Macaca mulatta: one gene and its partners. The protein of the gene in region 2 interacts with the protein of the main gene of each other region in a pairwise test. Links are inferred from orthologs where the notes say so. Each region holds a gene or a part of one and is shown on either strand. Other genes may lie near its edges. The genes, in order: CADPS, TCL1A, TXLNA, LSM3 and PRTFDC1.

Region 1 (3,512 bases), on a different chromosome or scaffold from region 2:
TTGAATGTGATGCATGTGTTGTATTATGAAATGCTAAACAGACTCTTACTAAAGCATCCAGAAAATTCTAGGTGATATATCATAGTTGATAAGACCCTACCTACTAGTTAAAATAATTTTCCATTATCCATTTATTAATTCAATAAACATTTACTGAGCATTCACTATGTGTCAAGATTTTATACACTGGGAATATTAGCAAACAAGGCAAAGATGAATCTCTCTGATAATTCTTTGAAGGCGAAGGGCAACATAATTACCAGGAAGGAAGGCCCTTGTTTAAAATGCAGATTCCTGGGCCATGCTCTGAGGCTGCAGAATGAGAATCTCTAGGGCTAGGGGCTGGGAATGTGCTCCTAAGAGACACCCAGTAAGAATTCCAGACTGCAAAATAGGCACATAATAAATATTTATTGAATAAATGAATATAATGCTAAGATTAGGTAGGATATCAAGATACGAGATACCTCGCTTTCCCGGTCCTCTATCTAGAGGAAATACAGGCCCATTTTGGGGTGGACCCAAGCAGAGCCTCAGCTCTCACTATCAGAACCACTCAGAAATTCATGATGTGACTAATATACAGGTATTAGGCCTTGTGCAAATTTCCCATTTTAAAAAATTTCTCTTGACAGGCAGGTGCTAAGTTCAGTTGTCTTCCCACCTGAGGAAGCACAAGCCCTTCCACTGGCAAACACCAAAGGCAAAACCATATTTTTTTTTAAATTGATTTTTAGCACTTTTGACACATGGAAACCAGACCTTACTCATAGGGCCAACTTACCCATTAGACACAATGAGCTCAGTGCCTAGGGCCCCTGAGACTTTTAGGAGCTCACAGAATTTTTTTTTTTTTTTTTTTTTTTTAAGAAGAAGAAAAGCATGAATATAATGTAGCCTAAATAGTATTCAACTTTTTACCAGTAGAGTAATAACTTTTAATCCAGTAAAAAAAAAATCAAGAAGCATCTCATAGAAGTCGGAATGCAGCTCTGCTTACCCACAGCTCTGGGCCCAGGTGAGAAACGCCTTACCTGGCAGGCATTGTACAGGAGCTGATGTTCGAACTTCTTGATCCCAAGAATGTTCTGGAACATCTCATAGAGTTGCTCCTTGCTCAGAATCAGCTCGGAGGCTGCGCTGGCTGTCATCCGGGCCTGCTGCTTCCGGGGGTCCTCTTCTCCACGGTAGATGGCATCAAATTTGGCCATCCAGGAGCTCAGCACAGTCTCCTTGCTGAGGCCATCAATCTCGGGCAGGCTGCGCACCCTCTTCTCAATGTGCTTCTTGAAGACCTCCCGGGAGTCGTTGGCAGAACAGCCTCCACTCTGCACCATGCGGGCCACACGGTCGCTCTTCAGGAACACCTAAGCAAGAACAGGGACAGGAAAGACAGTAAGAGAGTTGGCCACAGAGGGACCAGTTTCCTGGGGCTGGACACTGGGCCAGCCCACCTCACGTGCATCCCAGGAGGAACCACTGTGGGTCTCGTCTTGCCCTACCACCTCCTGGCTGTGCAAACTCAAACTAGTTACTTACACATTCTGCTTCTGTGTCCACATCTGTAAGATAAGAATAACACTTGTACCTACCAGGTTGTTGCAAGGGTTAACGAGATGATACTATCATGAGAGGCAGCACATAGCATAGAGACCTCTGCCCAGGCTGCATAGGTCTTGCCCCTTAGTGGCTGTGTGACTTTGGGCAAGTTAACCTCTTTGTACCTCAGTGTTCTCATTTATAAAATGGGGATAATAGTATTTATTTAATGTTCAATTTCCTTTTGAGACAGTCTTGCTCTGTCACCTAGGCTGGAGTACAGTGACATAATCACAGCTCACTGCAACCTCCTCCTCCCAGGCTTAAGTGACCTCCAGCCTCAGCCTTATGATCAGCTGGGACTACAGGTGCATGCCAGCACATCTGGCTAATTTTATTTTATTTTATTTTTGTATTTTTGGTAGAGTCAGGGTTTCACCATGTTGCCCAGGTTGGTCTCAAACTTCTGGGCTCAAGCAACCCATCCACCTCGGCCTCCAAAAGTGCTGGGATTACAGGCGTGAATCAATGCACCCAGCATTTAATTTTTTTTTTTTAAATAGAGGCAGGACTTTGCTCTGTTATCTAAGTCAGACTTCAGTGGTGATCATGATGCACTGCAACCTCAAACTCCTGGGCTCAAGCCATCCTCCTGCTTCAGCCTCCAAGTAGCTGGGACTATAAGTGTGTGCCAGTATGCCTTGACAATTTTTAAAACTTTTTGTAGAAACAGGGTCTTGCTGTGTTGCCCAGGCCAGTATGTATTTTTAAATGAGGATTAAATGTGTTAACATGTAAAACACACACAAAATAGTGCCTGGCCCATATTACACTTGTTGCTGTTATTATTATTATATGTAAATGCCTGGCATGATATCCGGCACATAGCGTTAAACATTAACCACTATTTGTATCTCCTTTTATCCCTTCAATGACACTTTTAATTGGAAGTATACAAGTATCAGGTAAACATATATTTAATTATCTATCTTCCTTCCTTAAATGTAAACTCTACTTGGGCAAGGAATGTGTCCTTGTTCCTTGCAATGTCTTCAGGTCCTAGAATGTCTTCAGCAGTTGACACTTTAAAAGTGAATTAAGGGTGAACATAGGTATTATGTTAAGTTTATTTTGTAGATGAAAAACCGAGACTTCAGAGAGGGGAAGGGACTTTCTTTTGGTAACTCAAATTGTCTAACTACCAATAGATAGTCTTTTTACTTCACCGTGGTTACCTTCCTTCCCGCAGAGTTCTCCTGCTTAATGAAAACCTCTTCCGCCTGGTGGAAAATCCCTGGTTGGTCTGCTGGTGCTGCCTGGTTGAGTCCTGGGACCAAGCTTTCTATTAAGAATGTCTTACTTTCGCTCCACTGCCCACCATTCGGAAGCTTACATGAGCTACACGGTTCTGGGGTGTAATACAAGGCAGTGAAGCCGCCATTTCATATTCACGGAGAGGAAGCATCTGACAGGTTTGAGCTGTGTCCTGGTCACACTTCAGAAGGTGCATAAATATCCTTCAAGAGGCAGAGCAAACGTTCATTCCCCTGTCAGATTTCAGGAAATGCACTTGTTGGCCATGAGACAGCACTGCCTGGGGGCGTCTCATTGCCTCATGCTTCATTGCAAAGCCTTTCTGGGGTGGAGAAATGTTTTTTTAAAAAAGGCTCCAGTTTATTGTTGACTTTAATGAACTAATTTAGAAAGGAGGGCTGAGGGTTTGCCTCACAGGGTAGAGGCCATGGCCTGCCCCCCTGTGAGTGGGAACTGGTACTCAGATGAGACCTTAGAGTTAATTTGAAAATTAATTATAGACAAAAAAGTTTCAAATGAATCCTCAGGCCTTATGAGTCTTAATGAGCTAAATAATTCACCTGAAAACCTGTAACACTTAATGGGGATGGTTTCTCCATCTAACCAACACATTACGGATCTCAAACAACAGCACTTTTAGGCTAGTGGAGGAAGTCTCT
Region 2 (3,958 bases):
CTGAGGCGGGAGAATGGTATGAACCCAGGAGGCAGAGCTTACAGTGAGCTGAGATTGCACCTCTGTACTCTAGCCTGGGCGACAGAGCGAGACTCAAAACAAAAAAAAACAAAAGGCAATGGGAACTGAAGTACTCGCTGAAACGTGAAGTTGTGAAGTACTGTGTAGATATGAGCAGCTGCGATAAAGGGGGCTCCCAAAGTGGTAAGGGAGAGACATGGGTGCCTCCAGGAAGACTCTCCCATCCCTGGGAGGCCTGAGATGGCAGCAGTCGGGGAGGGGTTAGCACTGCCTTCATGGAGAACGGGTGGTCTTTCCTTCTGGTACAGCCACTGTGGACTAAGAGGGGTCAAGCCCTGGTCAGTGGAGCTCACCGTGCCACACTCAGTCATCTGGCAGCAGCTCGAGAAGCATGTCCTCCACGCCGTCAATCTGAGAGGCAGACAGAGAAGGCATTGATCGGCCAGAGCCCTCCACTCCCTCCATTCCTCACTCCTGCGCCTTCCCCTAGCTGGAAACAGCAGGTAGGAACCCAAGTGTGAATTTCAGGGGCTCTCGGAGACTGCTCCTCCTCCCACCAGCCTTCAGCCTGTGGCTGCCCACGGGAGATGTCTTCCTGCGGCCAGCTGGGGGGCTGGGAGGAAGGGGAGGTAGGGTTCTGTTAGATACCTCAGAGGATCTATCTTCTCTCTGGGAAAGTCCTTTAGAAATCCTCAGTTGTCCATTCCCCCCAATTTTTGATGCTTTTGGGACTGGGATGGAGGGAAGATAAACCACTAAGGCCAGACACGGAGGAGGGGAAACCCAAGATCACCCGATGGATCCCTGGGAGAAGCACACTCGCCTTGATGTGGTACACTAAGCGCCAGAAACTGGAGTCTGAGGATCGGTATCGTCCATCAGGGTAGAGCTGCCACAAGATAGGCAGCAAGCTTGGGCCTATCTGGGTGGGGGTCATAGGATTCCCCAGGATGATGTCTTCCTGACGAAAGAGCACCCGTAACCTATCCTCTATCTGAGGAGAAGAAGAGCACAGGGCATACTTTCAGGTTCCGCTTGCCAGGGCTCCTCCAGGCACAGAAAACCAGAGTCCTTCCTGCCAGCCACCCACCCATTTGGGCAGGGGTCCGAGTATGAAATGACGGTCATCACTGTTCCCTGAAGCTCACTTCCTTAGGCCATGCATGCTCCTCTCAGGGACTCTGGCTGGGCCAGGATCACCAGCACGCACATGTGTCTAGCCACCCAGACAGGGCCATGAAAGGCACACTTTTTTTCTGGCGGGTTGCAGTGGCTCACACTTGTAATTCCTGTGCTTCGGAAGGCCGAGGCAGGAGGATCGCTTGAGGCCAGGAGTTTAATCAGCCTGAATGACGGAGCGAGACCCTGTCTCTACGGAAAAAAAAAAAAAAAAAAAAAAAAAAAGACAAAGAAAGAAGAAAGGAAAAGAATACTGGCCTTTTCAATGATGTGAGGCAAAATCTGTCCCACAGTTTGCTAGTGGGTTTTTGTGTGGCATTTATCATGATTATATGAAAAACTGTCTGGTTTATGATTCTGGTGTCACGTTGAAGAGATTTCTCAACCAGAGATTTAAAAAAAGAAATTCACCGAATATTCAGATTATTTCTTCAAATTTTGATTTTAAAAAAGTAAATGTTTAACTTGATTATTAAAGTAAAAACATATTTAAAAAATTGAAGTGCCAATAAAAATGCAAATTTTGGTGGTGGTTAACAGCCTAGAATTCCAACCCCATTACCTACTAGCAGCCCTACCTTGGACAAATGTACATTTTTGTGCCTCAGTTTCTCATCTGTAGAGACACAGTTAACACTCAATAATTTTTGATTGTTTGCTACTGGACATACATGTTCTAATTTGTTTTAATTTTTTATGCTTTCTTCAGTCTATGTTTGGAAAGAGTTTGAACATTTTTTGACTCTTTTTCATCGAGTAAATCCAAATACTTGTAAAAGAGTTATATATTTGTTTAACAAAAACTTAACATGGACTAAGGACCCATCTTAAGGCATCACACATAAAACAAAGTCAATATTGATTCAATACCGGCGCTTATACTACGACATCACTTGTTAAATTTGTTTTCTAAATAAAGCACAGAGGTCATGGAAAATACTTCACACTCTAGGGCAGTGGTTGCTATGCCTGGTTGACGTGTTCTTTTGAGCTGTTGAGGGTTCTTTTTAAAATACAGATTTCTGGGACCCACCTAAGATGATTCCGATAATCGGCCGTATGGATGAGTCACTTAGAGATACCCATTTTTAAGGATTAGGACCCCGAAGCCCAGAAAAGCCCTACTGTAGTCAACATATAGTCACACTCCACAGGCACTGGGTCCCCTCCTTTGGCCGACATTTCTTTGCGGTTTTCCCACCCTTTTTCCCTGCCTGGAGAACTCCTATTCATCCTCCAGAGCCCGGCTCAAAGTGGCTTCATCTGTGGGGATCCTCCCTGCCCCACAGTGGGTGCTTCTCAAGGCCTCACCCTTCCTAGGGCATCTCAAACTCCCGGGGGCTGCCCCTGCTGCCTCGCCATCCGCTCCAGAGCTGGCTGTACCTCAATGGTTAAGGGCAGCCAGGCGCGCTGCTTCTCGTCCAAATATACGAACTTGTCCCAGGCCCACAGGCGGTCCGGGTGGTCGGTGACTTCCTCCCCACGTAACGGGCACTCGGCCATGGCACCCTCGGGCCGCCTAAGAAGCAAGAGCCAGAGCCTCTCCAGGCTGCTCGCTGGTCCCTGGGATGTGGGGCCGACGCTTTATATCCGGGCAGCATGCGGCCGCCACCAAGCGGCGGGGCGGGAGGACGGCCTTGGGGCGGGACCCTGGGTCGGGAGGACGACCTGGGGGCGGGGCGTAAGGCAGGATGGGGCGGGGTTTGTGGGGGTCCCGGTGGCAAGCGAGGGTCCCACGCAGGCGCTACGTCCCGGCCTGACTGGCTCCCTGGAACGGTGGCAGCGCCTGGGAACGGAGACCCAGCCCTGGCTGACCCGCGGCTTCCTCGAGGCCCCGGCCAGCAGCGACCCCGACCGCCGCCCTCCGCTGCTGCTGGAGAGTCACCCGGGGTGACCTTGGCCCTTTCTTCTTCTGGGAGACCCCGCCGCTTCCCTCGGCTGCCGGACCGGGACTATGGGCCTCTGCTGGGAACTCACAGTCGACGCTAGGATGCCCAGAGCCGGGACCCAGTCCTCATCTTCTGGGATCAGAAGAGACCCACGCGGGCCTGAGTTAGGCCTGGGCTTTCCCGGGTTCCCTGGATCTCCTCCAGCTTGTGCCTTTGAGTGTCAGGGTCCATTTCTTGGCAAAGAACAACTCCTGACGCTCCGTCTTCCATACACAAAGCATGCGTTTTCCGCAGGTCTGATGATGCTGTGGACATCTAATAGCTATTACAAAACGGAGAAACATGGGTTTTTCCCCTTGGGCTTTGAATTTACTAGTGAAAGCATAGTTCAAAATGAATACTTAAAAAGAAACCCCTCCTTCCACCCTAAGATCAATGGATTTGAAAAGTCCTTGGTTTATATTATCAAAACCATCCCTCTGTAAATTACAAGCAATAAGGAAAACAATTTCACTTTATTTTGCAGTAACACATTCCCACTAAGGCAATTAAGAAAGTCATGCACAATGAAAAACATGTGAAACCAGCTCCAACCTGGTTCAAACATCACCATGGAACGGAGTTTGGTGTCTCACCTTCTAGCTCTTTCCTGGTTCTCTGACCAGGCACTAAGAAAATAATTTGTGATCCTTTGAAATATCACAAAAGTGGAAATTAAGAGATCTGATGAGGACATCTGATTCACTTGACAGCTGGATATCTGCCTCTTTGCCTATCCAGACAGCCTAATTCCCAAGAAGGAGCTGAGGTGGCCTAAGGTAGTCGAGATATAACGGGATTTACCAGGAATACAACATAGAAGAGAAAAG
Region 3 (3,512 bases), on a different chromosome or scaffold from region 2:
GGCAAGGAGGGGTCTGAGCCTCAAGTCAGGCAGAGAAATGCTCAAGTCACTTGTCCTGCCAACTCACTGTGATGGCAGCTACAGATGACAGCCCCTCTCAAGACTCTTCAGCTGACAGAGGAGCCACTGACTTCATCTGTACACACCCCTATCCCCAATGCAAGCCCACTGTACACTTATAGGTATAAATGCATTAGGCCTTGCAATATGCCATATGTACGTAAAACTGACCCACAAAATCCAAAATTGCAAGTGTCAGATGCCAGCCAGGTCAGAACATCCTGGCTTCAGCAATGGGCTGCTCAGCATGGGAGCTTTTTATGGGCCAGGCCTGGCTGGGCTGCTGCTCCCTTCCCAGCATGCCCCAGCACCAGGCTCTCTAGGCTCTGGCAGAGGTGGGCTCTTGAGGCCCAGTCTGGCCTGATGCTTCTGTGCTCGGTGCTCCTGGGTAGCAAGGTGCTTCTGTGACCCTGGGGGAGCTGGGTGCTTGAGCCCCAGGCCCCTCTGGCCTCCTTTCAGGGCCACTGTCAGTGAGGGAGCCCTGGCCACCAGCACTCAGGTCCTGTACCCTCTTGTTCAGGTCATTGCGCTCTGTCTGCAGCGCCCGGCACAGCTTCTCCAGCCGTTGGATTTTTACCTGCAGGCCCTCCAGTTCTTTATCCCGGACTGTTTTCTAGGGAGAGAAATGAGACCTTCAGTGCCATGCCCCATCAACCTCCCACTTACCATCACTACTTGGTGACAAACACTTTTAACAAGGCTGGGAGCAGACTGAGTCCGAAGCTGGCCCCCTCTAGGAAACAGTCCTGGTTGAAGCCATGACTAGACTGTCAGGTGGGGCAGTGTGGTGCAGAAAAGGGGCTCGGCTTGGACATAACATATTCCTCCATTTATCTACCACATGACCTTGGCAAAGGACTTGGCTTTTGAGCCTGTCTCATCTGTAAAACAGGACTACTAATACCATCCTCGGATCTCAAGAGAAGGTTCAATGAACCACGTACCTAAAAACATTCAGCAGCAAAAAAAAAAAAAGACAAACCCAAAAACATTCAGCAAGGTCTGGCTTGTCGTTGCTGCTCCATCAGTGTTAGTTCCTTTCTTCTACATTAGAAGCCATGAAATCACAAATTACCTGGGCTGCTTTACATGTAAACCAGGCACATCACTGGCACCCCTGTTTTTTCTGCTCTTTTATTCCTTTCTTCCATTTGCTCCCTTCACTCCCACTGGAGACCTACCACTGGGCTCACCATCTCCCATGGGGAGAGAACAGCATTAACTTTGGACTTGGACAATGTGTGCAAATCTCACCTCTACCTCATGCTAGCTGTGTCACTGATGGGTAGAACACACAGGAAAGGGCCTGATATGCGCTAAGTGCACACCCCCACCCTGGCTGCAGATCACAGACAGCCCACCTCCTCAGCCATCTCAAGGAGGGCCTTGTTGCTGCTCTCCCACCGGGACCGGTACATCGTGGTTTCTTTCTCCAGCTTCTTGATCTTCTTAGTCATCTAGGTTATGTGACAGACAGAAGGAAATGGTCAGAGCCGGCCTCTCTGTGCACCTGTGTCTCCAAGGTGGGGACTGACTGATTACAGGGTGCAGTCAATGCCCTCTGTGCCACCTTACCACCAGAAGTCACAAGTGTCCACCACTAACAACAAGAAATGGTAAGGGGCCAGAATCCCAGCACTTTGGGAGGCCAGGGTGGGTGGATCACTTGAGGCCAAGAGTTCAAGACCACCCTGGCCAACATGGTGAAACCCTGTCTCTACTAAAAATACCAAAAAAAAAAAAAAAAAAAAAAAAAAAAAAGGCCAGGCATGGTGGCACGTGCCTGTAATTCCAGCTACTCAGGAGGCTGAGGCAGGAGAATCACTTTAACACGGGGCACAAAGGCTGCAATGAGCTGAGATCGTGCCACTGCACTCCAGCCAGTGAAACAGGGCGAGACTCCATCTCAAAACAAACAAACAAACAAAAGAAATGGCTGCCCCATTCCCCGGGACAACCTGGAGGGTATACACACCACTGATACTGCCTCGAGAGGGGAAAGGCTGTGAACTCTCCTAACAGCCCCACCCTTGAGACACCCCAGATGGGAGCTTCCTGAAGGCAGGCCCAACCATTTTGAATGAAGCAGCTTATGCTCCAGGAGCCATGCGTGGCCTGGACCACAGTTACCTTTTCCATCTCCTGCTTGAATGTGGTGAACACCTCGCTGCTTTTGGAAAGTGTGTTCTGGAACTCCTCAAACTTCTCTGTGTATAAGGCAAGCTGGGGGAGAAAGCAGCCCACAGATAAGATTGGGTTTCTCTGGGAGGCACTCTGGTCAACACACTCAGACCTGTCCTTGACCCTCTGACCCAGTAATTCTATTGAGATACTATTTTTCCTTAAAACAAAGCAAAGCTATGTATTTGGAAGGATATAATCCAAAATGCTAAGCCTGGAAAGTAGGAGACTTAGGGTGACTTTTATTTTGCCTTTATGTTGATTTTCAAACTCTTTTGTTCCCACCTCCTCAAAAGCAATACAACATTTCTGAGCTACAAATGAAATCCTCTGAGCCCACCTAACTACCTGGTCACCACCATATAGGTACTGTGCAGGTCCAGAGAGAACAAAGGCTCAACCAAGGTCTCATAGCAGCCAGGACACAGCCAGTCCTAGAATGAGGGTCCCATTTCACTACCCCCAGGATGGGGCCCAGTGAGGGGACCTTGAAGGCACAGGGTCAGGTTATATGCTCTCACCTGTTGCTTCAGGTGGGTCTCTTGCTGCTTCATCAGCTCACACATCCTCTGGGACTCTACTGCCTCTTTCAGGAGCTATTTCCAAGACAGAACCCCAGATCCTGTCAGAAGCCCCCAGGGGCTATGTTTGGTTTTTAGCCACAAGCACCAAACCCACCAAGGTTTCCTGCTCTCAGACTGATACTCAAGGAATCTGTGCCTGGTCTGGCCAGACAACTTCTCCCATATAACCCGGCTATGAACTGAGCCACAGCCCAACCTGCCTCCTCCCACACCCCCATCCCAACCCTTGGGCCTAAGCCTCACAAAATCCTTCTCCCGTTGGTGCCGCTCTTCTGCCTCCTTTAGCATCTCCTGGGCCTGCTGGAGCTTGGCATCCACCAGCTGCTGTTGTAGGTCCTTGTGTTTGAAGACTTTGTCGATATGCTGCAGCAAAGATGGTGGGAGCCGTCAGCTTGTCAGGAGCTCCTTTTCTCAGGGTGGCCCCACAGCCAAAGACCAGGGCACTTTGCCCAGCCCCCCATCTCAATCTGATATGCTGGACTCCCATGTGTACCACACAACATGGGCCCCAAGTCTCTGGAAGGTCATCTTTCCAAGCTCACCTCGTTTCTCTCCCAGTGAGTCAGACTTTGGTAAGTACATGGTTTATGGATGGAATCTGCTCCCAAGAAGCCAAGCAATAAACACACTCAAATCTCTGACCCCAGGATTGATCACCTATGGGGTTGGAAGCCCTCACTTCTGTGT
Region 4 (4,311 bases), on a different chromosome or scaffold from region 2:
GAGTGGGGGTGGGAAGGAATCTGATTTCAAGGTAACTTGATAAATTTACTCACATGTAATCTGCCTCGAAGCTCTCGGTCATTTCTCATCTTCACATAAATTCGCTCATCTAGGCTGAGCCTGATAAGATCCAGGGGCTCCTCTACAGTGTTGGTAGTTTGTTGCTGATAACAGAAACAGGTTTAGTAATATAGTACTAGAGATAAAGTAGTGCTTAAATCACTGCTATGCTGTATGACCATGTGCAAGTTATTTAACCTTTTTCTGCCTCAGTCTCCTAATCTGTAAAATGGAGATAATAGTGTCTACCTAATACTGTTTTTATGAGGCTTAAGTGACATATATGAAGGCTTAGAACAGAACTTTTCACATAGTATGTGCTATATAAATGTAGATTAAAACACGCATACATAAGAAGGAGTTACACAGCAAAATAATCATGACTATACTTTGTTCCCTCAAAATCCAAACTGCCTGACCCGATTTCAGGGTATAGGGTCTTAGGAACTTTAGCTTTATCTCAAATATTATGTAATCATAGGAAAAACACTCACTTAATGCCTACCATATACTAGTCAGAATGCCAAGTAGAGGTGTAGGTTTATGGGAAGATTATGAATTCAGCACAGGTTGAGGTTAGGCTGCCAACTGGCCAGTAAGATGAATATTTAGTAGCCAGAATAGAACACTGGTTCAAAGCACTGGCTTAGCCGGGCATGGTGGCATGTGCCTGTAGTCCCAGCTACTCCGAGGCTGAGGTGGGAGGATTGCCTGAGCCTGGGAGGTGGAGGTTGCAGTGAGCCAAGATGGTGCCAACAAGCAAGCAAGCACTGACTTTGGAGTCAGGCAGTCTGGGTTCAACTCCTGGCTGTGACCTGACACTTATGAACTGAGATTAAAAATCATGCCATCTGTAATTCTCAGATTCTTCATTTGTAATTGAGAAAGCCACAACCTTCCTTCTGGATTCTTATGAGGATGAAACTAGTTAATGCATTTAAAACAGTGCCAGGAAAGCAGAAAATATTAATACTTAGAAACGGTTCCTTTTGGCTGGGCGTGGTGGCTCAGGCCTGAATTCCAGCACTTTGGGAGGCTGAGAAAGGCAGATCACCTGAGGTTAGGAGTTTGAGACCAGCCTGGCCAACATGGTGAACCCCGTCTCTACTAAAAATACAAAAATTAGCCAGGCGTGCTGGCACGTGCCTGTAGTCCCAGCTACTTGGGAGGCTGAGACAGGAGAATCGCTTGAACCAGGAGGCAGAGGTTGCAGTGAACTGAGATCACGCCACTGCACTCCAGCCTGGGCGATAGAGTGAGACTCCATCCAAAAAAAAAAAAAGAAAAGAAAAGATTCCTACTAATATTATATTATTAAAGAACTGCTGGAAACACTGGTTTTAGAGGTCAGGGCTAGGATGACTTGGGGTCACCCACATGGAAGGGAGGGTTGCAGCCATTAAAGAGTTAGATGATTCAAGGAGAGCTTCTTTAGTAAGTACACAAGGCCAGTGGAGGAAGGTAACTGAATTCGTAACAGGCGCTAAAGATTCAAAAGGCCCGATGAGAGAAAAAAAAATAACCTAACTCAACTGGTCCCTATGTCCCTCAGTTCAACAGGTGTTTGTTAAAGGATCAGATAACCAACTGTTAGATTACAATGATACAGAAGTCACAATCTCCACCCTCAAGGAGCTCATTCTAATGTGGATAGGCATATGAATAATTATAATACTGTAAGAATATGCACATGACAGAGCTCTACTGCTACCTAAGCCTCTGTCTGGGATGCCCACTTTCTGTTCTTTTTCATCCTGTAGCTTTATACATTGGCTTTTAAAAGAGGCCTCCTCTGATCATCTAACTCATTCACTCAAATATTTGTTGAGTATTTCCAGCACTGTTCTAAACCCCAAGGACAAAAGAATGAACAAAACAAAATGCCTACTGTTATGGCACTTACATTCTAGTCAGGAGAGATACACATTAAACAAAGATGCATACATTTAATATGAAAAAATAACGTTCTATGAAGAAAAATGAGGCAGGGTAAGCAGAGTAGGGGGAGTGCTATTTGGGCAGAAGTCCTCTCTGAGGAGGTGAGATTTCAGTAGAAAGTTTAAGTTGTAGCATGATCTCCAAAGATATTTGAGGAAGAAAAAGACCAGGTGAAAAAGCTTCTAGGACCATCTGTTATTCTGCATACCAGTTCCTTGTTTCCTTCATAGCACATCACAGTTCCTATAAATCTTACATATTTATATTTATCTGTTCTCCTCGCGAATATAAGCTCCAAGTCATGGCAAGGATCACTTATATATCGATGTCAGTGTCCCTGGCTCTTAGAACAGTGTCTAACCATACAAAGCTGATGTTCACTCTCTCTGCTGAATGAGTAAATAATTGTTGTGCTCAGTAATAACAACTCCTAACTTTATTATCTGGCTTTCTATTGGAATCCTGACAGCTCCGTGAGGTAGGCACGCATAATAATTTACAGATTTAAAAAAACAAAGCGAAGAGTGTGATGAATAGTCATCAGGTGGCCTTCTAACGGAAAAGACCTCAGGGCCTGCAGCAAAATTCGGACAGGGGTGTTTACGGAAAGGATGGGGCGGATTAGGCCGTGTGACTTGGAAAGAAGAGGCGCGACTGGCCATTTTTCCTGCGTTTGGAAAAAGCAGTTTAGTACAAGAAGCGGCGCCGAGCCACCGCCTTAAAATTCACTCACCTGGTCTACGTCGTCCGCCATGTTTCAAACCCTGCGCCCTTTCCCGCCTCTCGCGAGAACACAAGAGCAACGCCGAGCTCCGGAAACGTGATGCTACAATACACCGGAAATAGAAACCTGCTGTGCTCTTGCCTGCTTCCCGCGGTTTTTTAGTGGCCACGGGTATGGGGCGGAGCTTCCTTTGGGGGCGTGACTAGGCCTCCAACGAAGGGGCGTGGCCAGACGCGCCCGCCTCGGGGCGGGGCCTGCGTTCTAACGCATCGCGGCCTGGTGCGTCACTCGCGAAGTGGATTTTTCCCCGACAAGCAATATGGCTCGGAAGCGCGCGGCCGGCGGGGAGCCGCGGGGACGCGAAACGCGCAGCCAGAAGTCCAAGGCCAAGAGCAAGACCCGGCGTGAGGAGGAGGAGGGTGAGAGCGTGGCCCAGCGGGCTTCGCGGGAGACTCTGCCGGTGGGCGGAGGAGGCCCAGAGGCAGGGGCGGCGGGAGTCCAGACGCGGAGGCCGGGAGGAGGTTGCTGCGCGCGTTCCGCGCAGTGGGGGCAGCACGGCAGGCCGCGGCCGGCCCTCCCCGCTGTCCCTGCGCCTTTGTCCTCTGCACCCAGAGCGGCTTCCCGTGAGCCTCGCCCGACCCAAGCTCCTGCGTAGCTTCTTTCCCGCTCCCCGTTGTCCAGAGGATACAGCGCAGATGTTCAGGGTTGAACGCGGAGAAGGCAGTTATTTGTGTCCCAGGAAAACGGACGGACGGACCAGGACGTAGAGTGATGCAGTGTGCTGACTCCCGAATGATAACTTCAGCTGAGTCTCGCCCAGAGTTCCACAGTGGGATCCCACCTGACTTCCCCTCGTGGATATTGGATAGGCTTCTTACATTTGTCGTGGACAGTGCAGAGCTCATGGTCTTCCCCTTCAAATCTATGCTTTCCTCCGTTTTTCCAGTCCCAATACTTGTTATAAAACAAAGTCCACCTTTTTCTTATGTGCACACATCCAGTCCCGTCAGCAAGTCCAGTCAGTTCAGCCTCAGACTGTATTTCAAATTTGTCCACTTCTCTTCATTTCCATGGCCACAACCCCTGTCCAAGTCACCATCACCTTTCAGTTGAGTGACTGCAGTTTCCTCTTGACTGGCCTCCCAGCTCTGCATCCAGCAACGCAAATAATCTTTAAAAAAAAAAAAAAAAATCATGCCATGCTCCTGCTTTAAACTCTCCTTGGTTTTCCATTGCTCTTAGTTTAAAATCCAGTTGTCTTATCCTGGCCTGCAAGATGCTACGTGTTTTGGCTCTTGCTACCTCTCCTGTTTCTCCTACCACTTGTTTCCTTGCCAGATACCCTCCTCATTGGCCTCCTTTCTCTTCCTCAAATATGCCAAGTTATTTCTTGAGCCTTTTCCTTTGATATTCCTTCGGCCTAGAGTGACCCCCCACCATGGCTTTTGCCAGGTATGATTTCTTCAAATCTCAAGTCAGACATTCCTTGAGCAAACTAAGGTAGTCCTTCCCAGATACCCCGTGGATACTAAAACCTGTGATGCTCAAGTACCTTGTATCAAATGGCCTAGTGTTTCCATGTAACCTAT
Region 5 (4,002 bases), on a different chromosome or scaffold from region 2:
CTTGTTGCCCAGGCTGGAGTGCAATGGTACAGTCTCAGCTTGCTGCAACCTCCACCTCCCGGGTTCAGGCAATTCTCCTGCTTCAGCCTCCCGAGTAGCTGTGGTTACAGGCATGTACTACCATGCCCAGCTAATTTTGTATTTTTAGTAGCAGCTAGGTTTCACAATGTTGGTCAGGATTTTATTGAACTCCTGACCTCAGGTGATCTACCCACCTTGGCCTTCCAAAGTGCTGGGATTACAGGTATGAGCCACCTCACCTGGCCCTCTATTCTCTTTATACCCCTCTTACTACCTCTTTGCATTTTTCAAAAAATTACCTTGCTTCCAGGAGGACCTCTGTTGACACCAATAGACTGGGCTATTTACAATGTTCTCTCACTTGTTTCTTAGACTTCAACAATTTACCTACTCTATCAGTGCATCTAGATCCACCTTATTCTTTTCTAAAAGTATCTAGTATGTTATGGTAGTACAAGTTGAGTACGCCTCACCCAAAATGCTTGGGACCAGATGTGTTTCTAATTACTGATGTTTTTTTTTTTTTCTTTGGATTTTGGAATATTTGCATTTACTTCCTGGTTGAGCATCCCTAATCTGAAAATCCGAAATCCAAAATGCTCCAGCCAGTATTTCCTTTCAGCATCATGTTGGCGCACAGAAAGTGTCAGATTTGGGGGCATTTTGGATTTTGGATTTTTGGATTAGGGATGCTCAACTTGTACTATATTTTAACTGTTCTACCAATGGAGTGGTTGTTTAAAAGATTCTCCCTACTAATGACTTTGTAATTGTTAAATACAGTGGCTGTTTTCCATCTTGGTATCCAACTTGCTGTCCCTGTAGCATCTGACACTTCTGATGACCTCTTGACACCGCCCCTCCCGCTCAACAATGCTCTGTTCCCAAGGCACCCACCACCCTGCCTGCCCTCCCACCCTTCAGCGTTCTTTCTCGGTTCCTTCAACCAGCTTCTCCCCCACAGGCAGCCTCCTACATTTGGGACTTTCCAGGCTTCCATCCTTAACAGTTGCTTTAATTGTTTTTTCCACATTCACTGAGCATTCCTGAACATTAAATATTATTCTTTCTGCTGATTTCCAAATCTCTCCAATCGCTCTCCTGAATTCCAAATGTGAATTTCACAAATTGCCTACAGTGCAGCCCGATCTGTGGGCCTTACAGGCACTGCAGACTCAATTTGTCCACAATGAACTTAGTGATTGCCCTTTTTGCGTTTTAGTCTCCCTCCCATCCATCACACCGCTAGGCTTGCCCCTCCTCCTGGGGCAACTGGAATGGTTTTTATAAAAGCATAAATCGGATACAATGATTCTTTTGCATTTGATATGCGGGTCTCCGCCTGCAGTCCACATGGCTACTCCTGTGTACCCTTCAGATCTTAGTTCAAAGGTCACCGCGGAGAGGCTGCCCTGACCACCTGAGCAAAAGCATCACTCCCCGCTTCTCCTCCAATTACCCTCTATCCTGTTACCCTCCTCCTATTGCACATCTCTACTGGAAATTTTCTCTATTTGTTTACACACTGCTTGCCTGTGTCTTCTCTAGAACGCAAGCTCATGAAGACAAGGCCTTTGTCTTTTGCACCCCAGCGCCTACAACACCTTCTGCAACCCAGCAGGACAATCAACTTGTGGAATGAATAAATAAATCAACACCTCATCCTTTAAGAAGGAAAGGGCCTGCTGTTAAATTAAGCACTGAGCCCCACATTTCAACCTGACCGGTTCTGTCTGAGTGTGTCACCTTTCCCTCCCCAGCCCACTTACTTTAGTTCAGGCCATTCATATTCATAAACAGATTATCTGTGAACGACAAGCTGATCCCTGGAAAGAGATGGCAAGTTAGCTCCACCCACCATCCTCACCACCATTGAGTTTCACATTGAACTTGACACAAGTTATAACCACCACCTTCTAGGAAAACCACTTCTCAGGGAGCAGGGAGGACGCGGCCACAAGGTCAAGAACGGATTAGATCCTAGCACACTGACCCTCTGGCTGACACCAACAGGAGTCTCAGTTCTGGGAAACCAGCATCCCACACCCTCCCATCCGGACACACTGCTAGATATTTTACATGCATCCTCCCAATTCGCTCCGGAGCCCAGCCTGCTGTTGCTCCCTTTTACAGACAAACCATAGGTCCCGCAGGAGCGTGTCCCAGAGCTCCTGCAGAGGCCTCCACTGCCAGAGAGCCCCCCAACCTGGGTACCAAAGGCTTCAGAGCTCAAGTTCTGTCAACTTGAGCTACTTTATTTCCTGGCTGCCTTCAAAACCCCTCAGTGTCCTTTTTAAAAACAAAACTTGAAGCCCGCTCTGGAAGAGGAGGCCCAGGAAGAAGGAGGCCTACAGAGCAGCACGCGGGTGTCTCGGCCCGGCCGGCTCCCAGAAGCTGCTCCCCGTGGCTCGCTGGGATGGGGACGGCTGGGCGCCGGCGGGACGCTGCAGGAGCGGGCTACCGGCCGGAGGACGCGGGGGGACGCTGGGAACTCGGGGTGAAGGGACGGGACTCGGCGTTTCCTCAGATTGGGGGCGGGGAGAGGAGGCCAGGGTCTGAGGATGGAAGCGATCCCCGCCAGGAGGGAGAACAAAGCGGTGGCCCGCTTTCTCTCCCGACGCACGGCAGGCATTTAATCTACAAGCAGGGTGCCAGGGAGGAAGGGGAGCGGGGCGAGCCCCAAAATCGGGAGTTTGCATTTACCACGACGCCTCGCCCGTAGTCTGGCGCCTCCTCGCTGCTCCCGGCCATGTTTCTCCCGGGGAACGCGGGAAGGGAAGACGGCGCGGGAAGGAGCTGGGAGGGCGAAGGTTGCGTGGGGGAAGGGACTTGGGGATGGGGACCCGGCCGCCCCGCCCCGCCCCGGGCCCGCCGGCTGGAAGCAGCGGCCTGGCGCGGATCCAGGGCCCCGGCGCGGCGCCCCCTCCCCTGGCGAGGCCGCGGGGGCGCGGGGAGCAGCTGCCAAGCCGCGACCGCTCCCCGTGAGCGCGGGCCCCGGGCGCGTCCCTCGCGGCCACCGCTGTCGCCGCCGCCGCCTGCCGGATGGTCGCCTGCAGCCCCCGGCCTCGCCGCCAGGCCCCGCGGGGACTCGGGAGCACGAGGCAGCCCGCGGCAGGAAGAGAACGTGTCCCCCAGGCCCCTGCTTCCCAGATCCACCGTCCTAGCCCTCGGGCTAACAATCTCCTTGGCTCTTCCCTGCCAGATTTCATGCACGCGATTGTCCCAAGCAGAAGCGTGAAAGAGCCTGCGAGCCGGCGTGCTCTTGGAGGATGGGCAAGTGTCCTGGATGTGTTTTCAAACCCTGGAGCCGCCACCCACCTCTCTCCACCTCCCCTCACCTCCCTCCACTTCCCCTCACTTCCCTCCACCTCCTCTCACCTCCCTCCACCTTCCTCCGCCTTTCTCTGCCTTCCCCCCATCTTCCTCATCCCAGGGCCTGGAGCTGGAAAGATTACACCCGATTGCTTTTAGGGTGGCCCAGATCTGCAGGGATCAGATCTGGGCTTTCAGGATCCGGCCTTTCAGCCTTTGGTCAACTGCATTCAGGGGAGGAGGGGGAGAGATTTTTTCACATTCTCTGCTTTACCAGTTTTGCAAGAACATCTGGTCAGATTGTAATTGTTCCAGGTTGCAGCTTTATTAAAGCAGTCACTCTCTTCTGATTAGAAATCCTTCTCGTATGAGTCTGTTGTTCATTTCAACCCCTCTCACATCCCTGTGCTCCAGTTCTTTGTCCACTCCTGCAGGGTCCTGCTTTTTCTGGGTGTGTCTTCAGTCCCCAGGTCCCTGACATCTCATCAGCATCTTCATTCACTCAACCCAATTCAGGTTGAAGGCCTGAATCCAAGAGAACTGAACACAGTTTTCCTGATGCAGGCCTCTTTTGTTCATCTTCGGATTCTGGCACACAGAGGGGAGAGGAATGCTGATTTTGCCTAGTTTAAAGGGAAAATAGTTATCAATCGGTTAATGACGTTCTAG

The links.
Region 1: the proteins of TCL1A (region 2) and CADPS interact in a two-hybrid assay, tested with the Homo sapiens proteins (3 studies listed by BioGRID and IntAct). The two-hybrid records come from large-scale screens. The link is inferred for Macaca mulatta from reciprocal best matches to the Homo sapiens genes TCL1A and CADPS.
Region 3: the proteins of TCL1A (region 2) and TXLNA interact in binary tests that used the Homo sapiens proteins (3 or more experiments, as listed by UniProt). The two-hybrid records come from large-scale screens. The link is inferred for Macaca mulatta from reciprocal best matches to the Homo sapiens genes TCL1A and TXLNA.
Region 4: the proteins of TCL1A (region 2) and LSM3 interact in binary tests that used the Homo sapiens proteins (3 or more experiments, as listed by UniProt). The two-hybrid records come from large-scale screens. The link is inferred for Macaca mulatta from reciprocal best matches to the Homo sapiens genes TCL1A and LSM3.
Region 5: the proteins of TCL1A (region 2) and PRTFDC1 interact in binary tests that used the Homo sapiens proteins (3 or more experiments, as listed by UniProt). The two-hybrid records come from large-scale screens. The link is inferred for Macaca mulatta from reciprocal best matches to the Homo sapiens genes TCL1A and PRTFDC1.

The regions. Positions count from the first base shown.
Region 1 is NC_133407.1:126,339,115-126,342,626, forward strand, and holds part of CADPS (calcium-dependent secretion activator 1), read right to left. Parts: intron 1,368-3,512; coding exon 1,035-1,367; intron 1-1,034.
Region 2 is NC_133412.1:169,015,146-169,019,103, forward strand, and holds the start of TCL1A (T-cell leukemia/lymphoma protein 1A), read right to left. Parts: upstream 2,803-3,958; 5' UTR 2,704-2,802; coding exon 2,584-2,703; intron 1,016-2,583; coding exon 845-1,015; intron 433-844; coding exon 385-432; 3' UTR 375-384; intron 1-374. UniProt on the Homo sapiens protein: Enhances the phosphorylation and activation of AKT1, AKT2 and AKT3. Promotes nuclear translocation of AKT1. Enhances cell proliferation, stabilizes mitochondrial membrane potential and promotes cell survival.
Region 3 is NC_133406.1:208,688,521-208,692,032, forward strand, and holds part of TXLNA (alpha-taxilin), read right to left. Parts: intron 3,189-3,512; coding exon 3,069-3,188; intron 2,838-3,068; coding exon 2,763-2,837; intron 2,284-2,762; coding exon 2,191-2,283; intron 1,518-2,190; coding exon 1,422-1,517; intron 674-1,421; coding exon 380-673; 3' UTR 1-379. UniProt on the Homo sapiens protein: May be involved in intracellular vesicle traffic and potentially in calcium-dependent exocytosis in neuroendocrine cells.
Region 4 is NC_133407.1:152,980,349-152,984,659, reverse strand, and holds the start of LSM3 (U6 snRNA-associated Sm-like protein LSm3), read right to left. Parts: upstream 2,806-4,311; 5' UTR 2,753-2,805; coding exon 2,732-2,752; intron 165-2,731; coding exon 54-164; intron 1-53. Other genes in the region: XPC (DNA repair protein complementing XP-C cells), read left to right, coding at 3,042-3,141. UniProt on the Homo sapiens protein: Plays a role in pre-mRNA splicing as component of the U4/U6-U5 tri-snRNP complex that is involved in spliceosome assembly, and as component of the precatalytic spliceosome (spliceosome B complex).
Region 5 is NC_133414.1:26,385,810-26,389,811, forward strand, and holds the start of PRTFDC1 (phosphoribosyltransferase domain-containing protein 1), read right to left. Parts: upstream 2,804-4,002; 5' UTR 2,773-2,803; coding exon 2,725-2,772; intron 1,848-2,724; exon of another isoform or gene 1,791-1,847; intron 1-1,790. UniProt on the Homo sapiens protein: Has low, barely detectable phosphoribosyltransferase activity (in vitro). Binds GMP, IMP and alpha-D-5-phosphoribosyl 1-pyrophosphate (PRPP). Is not expected to contribute to purine metabolism or GMP salvage.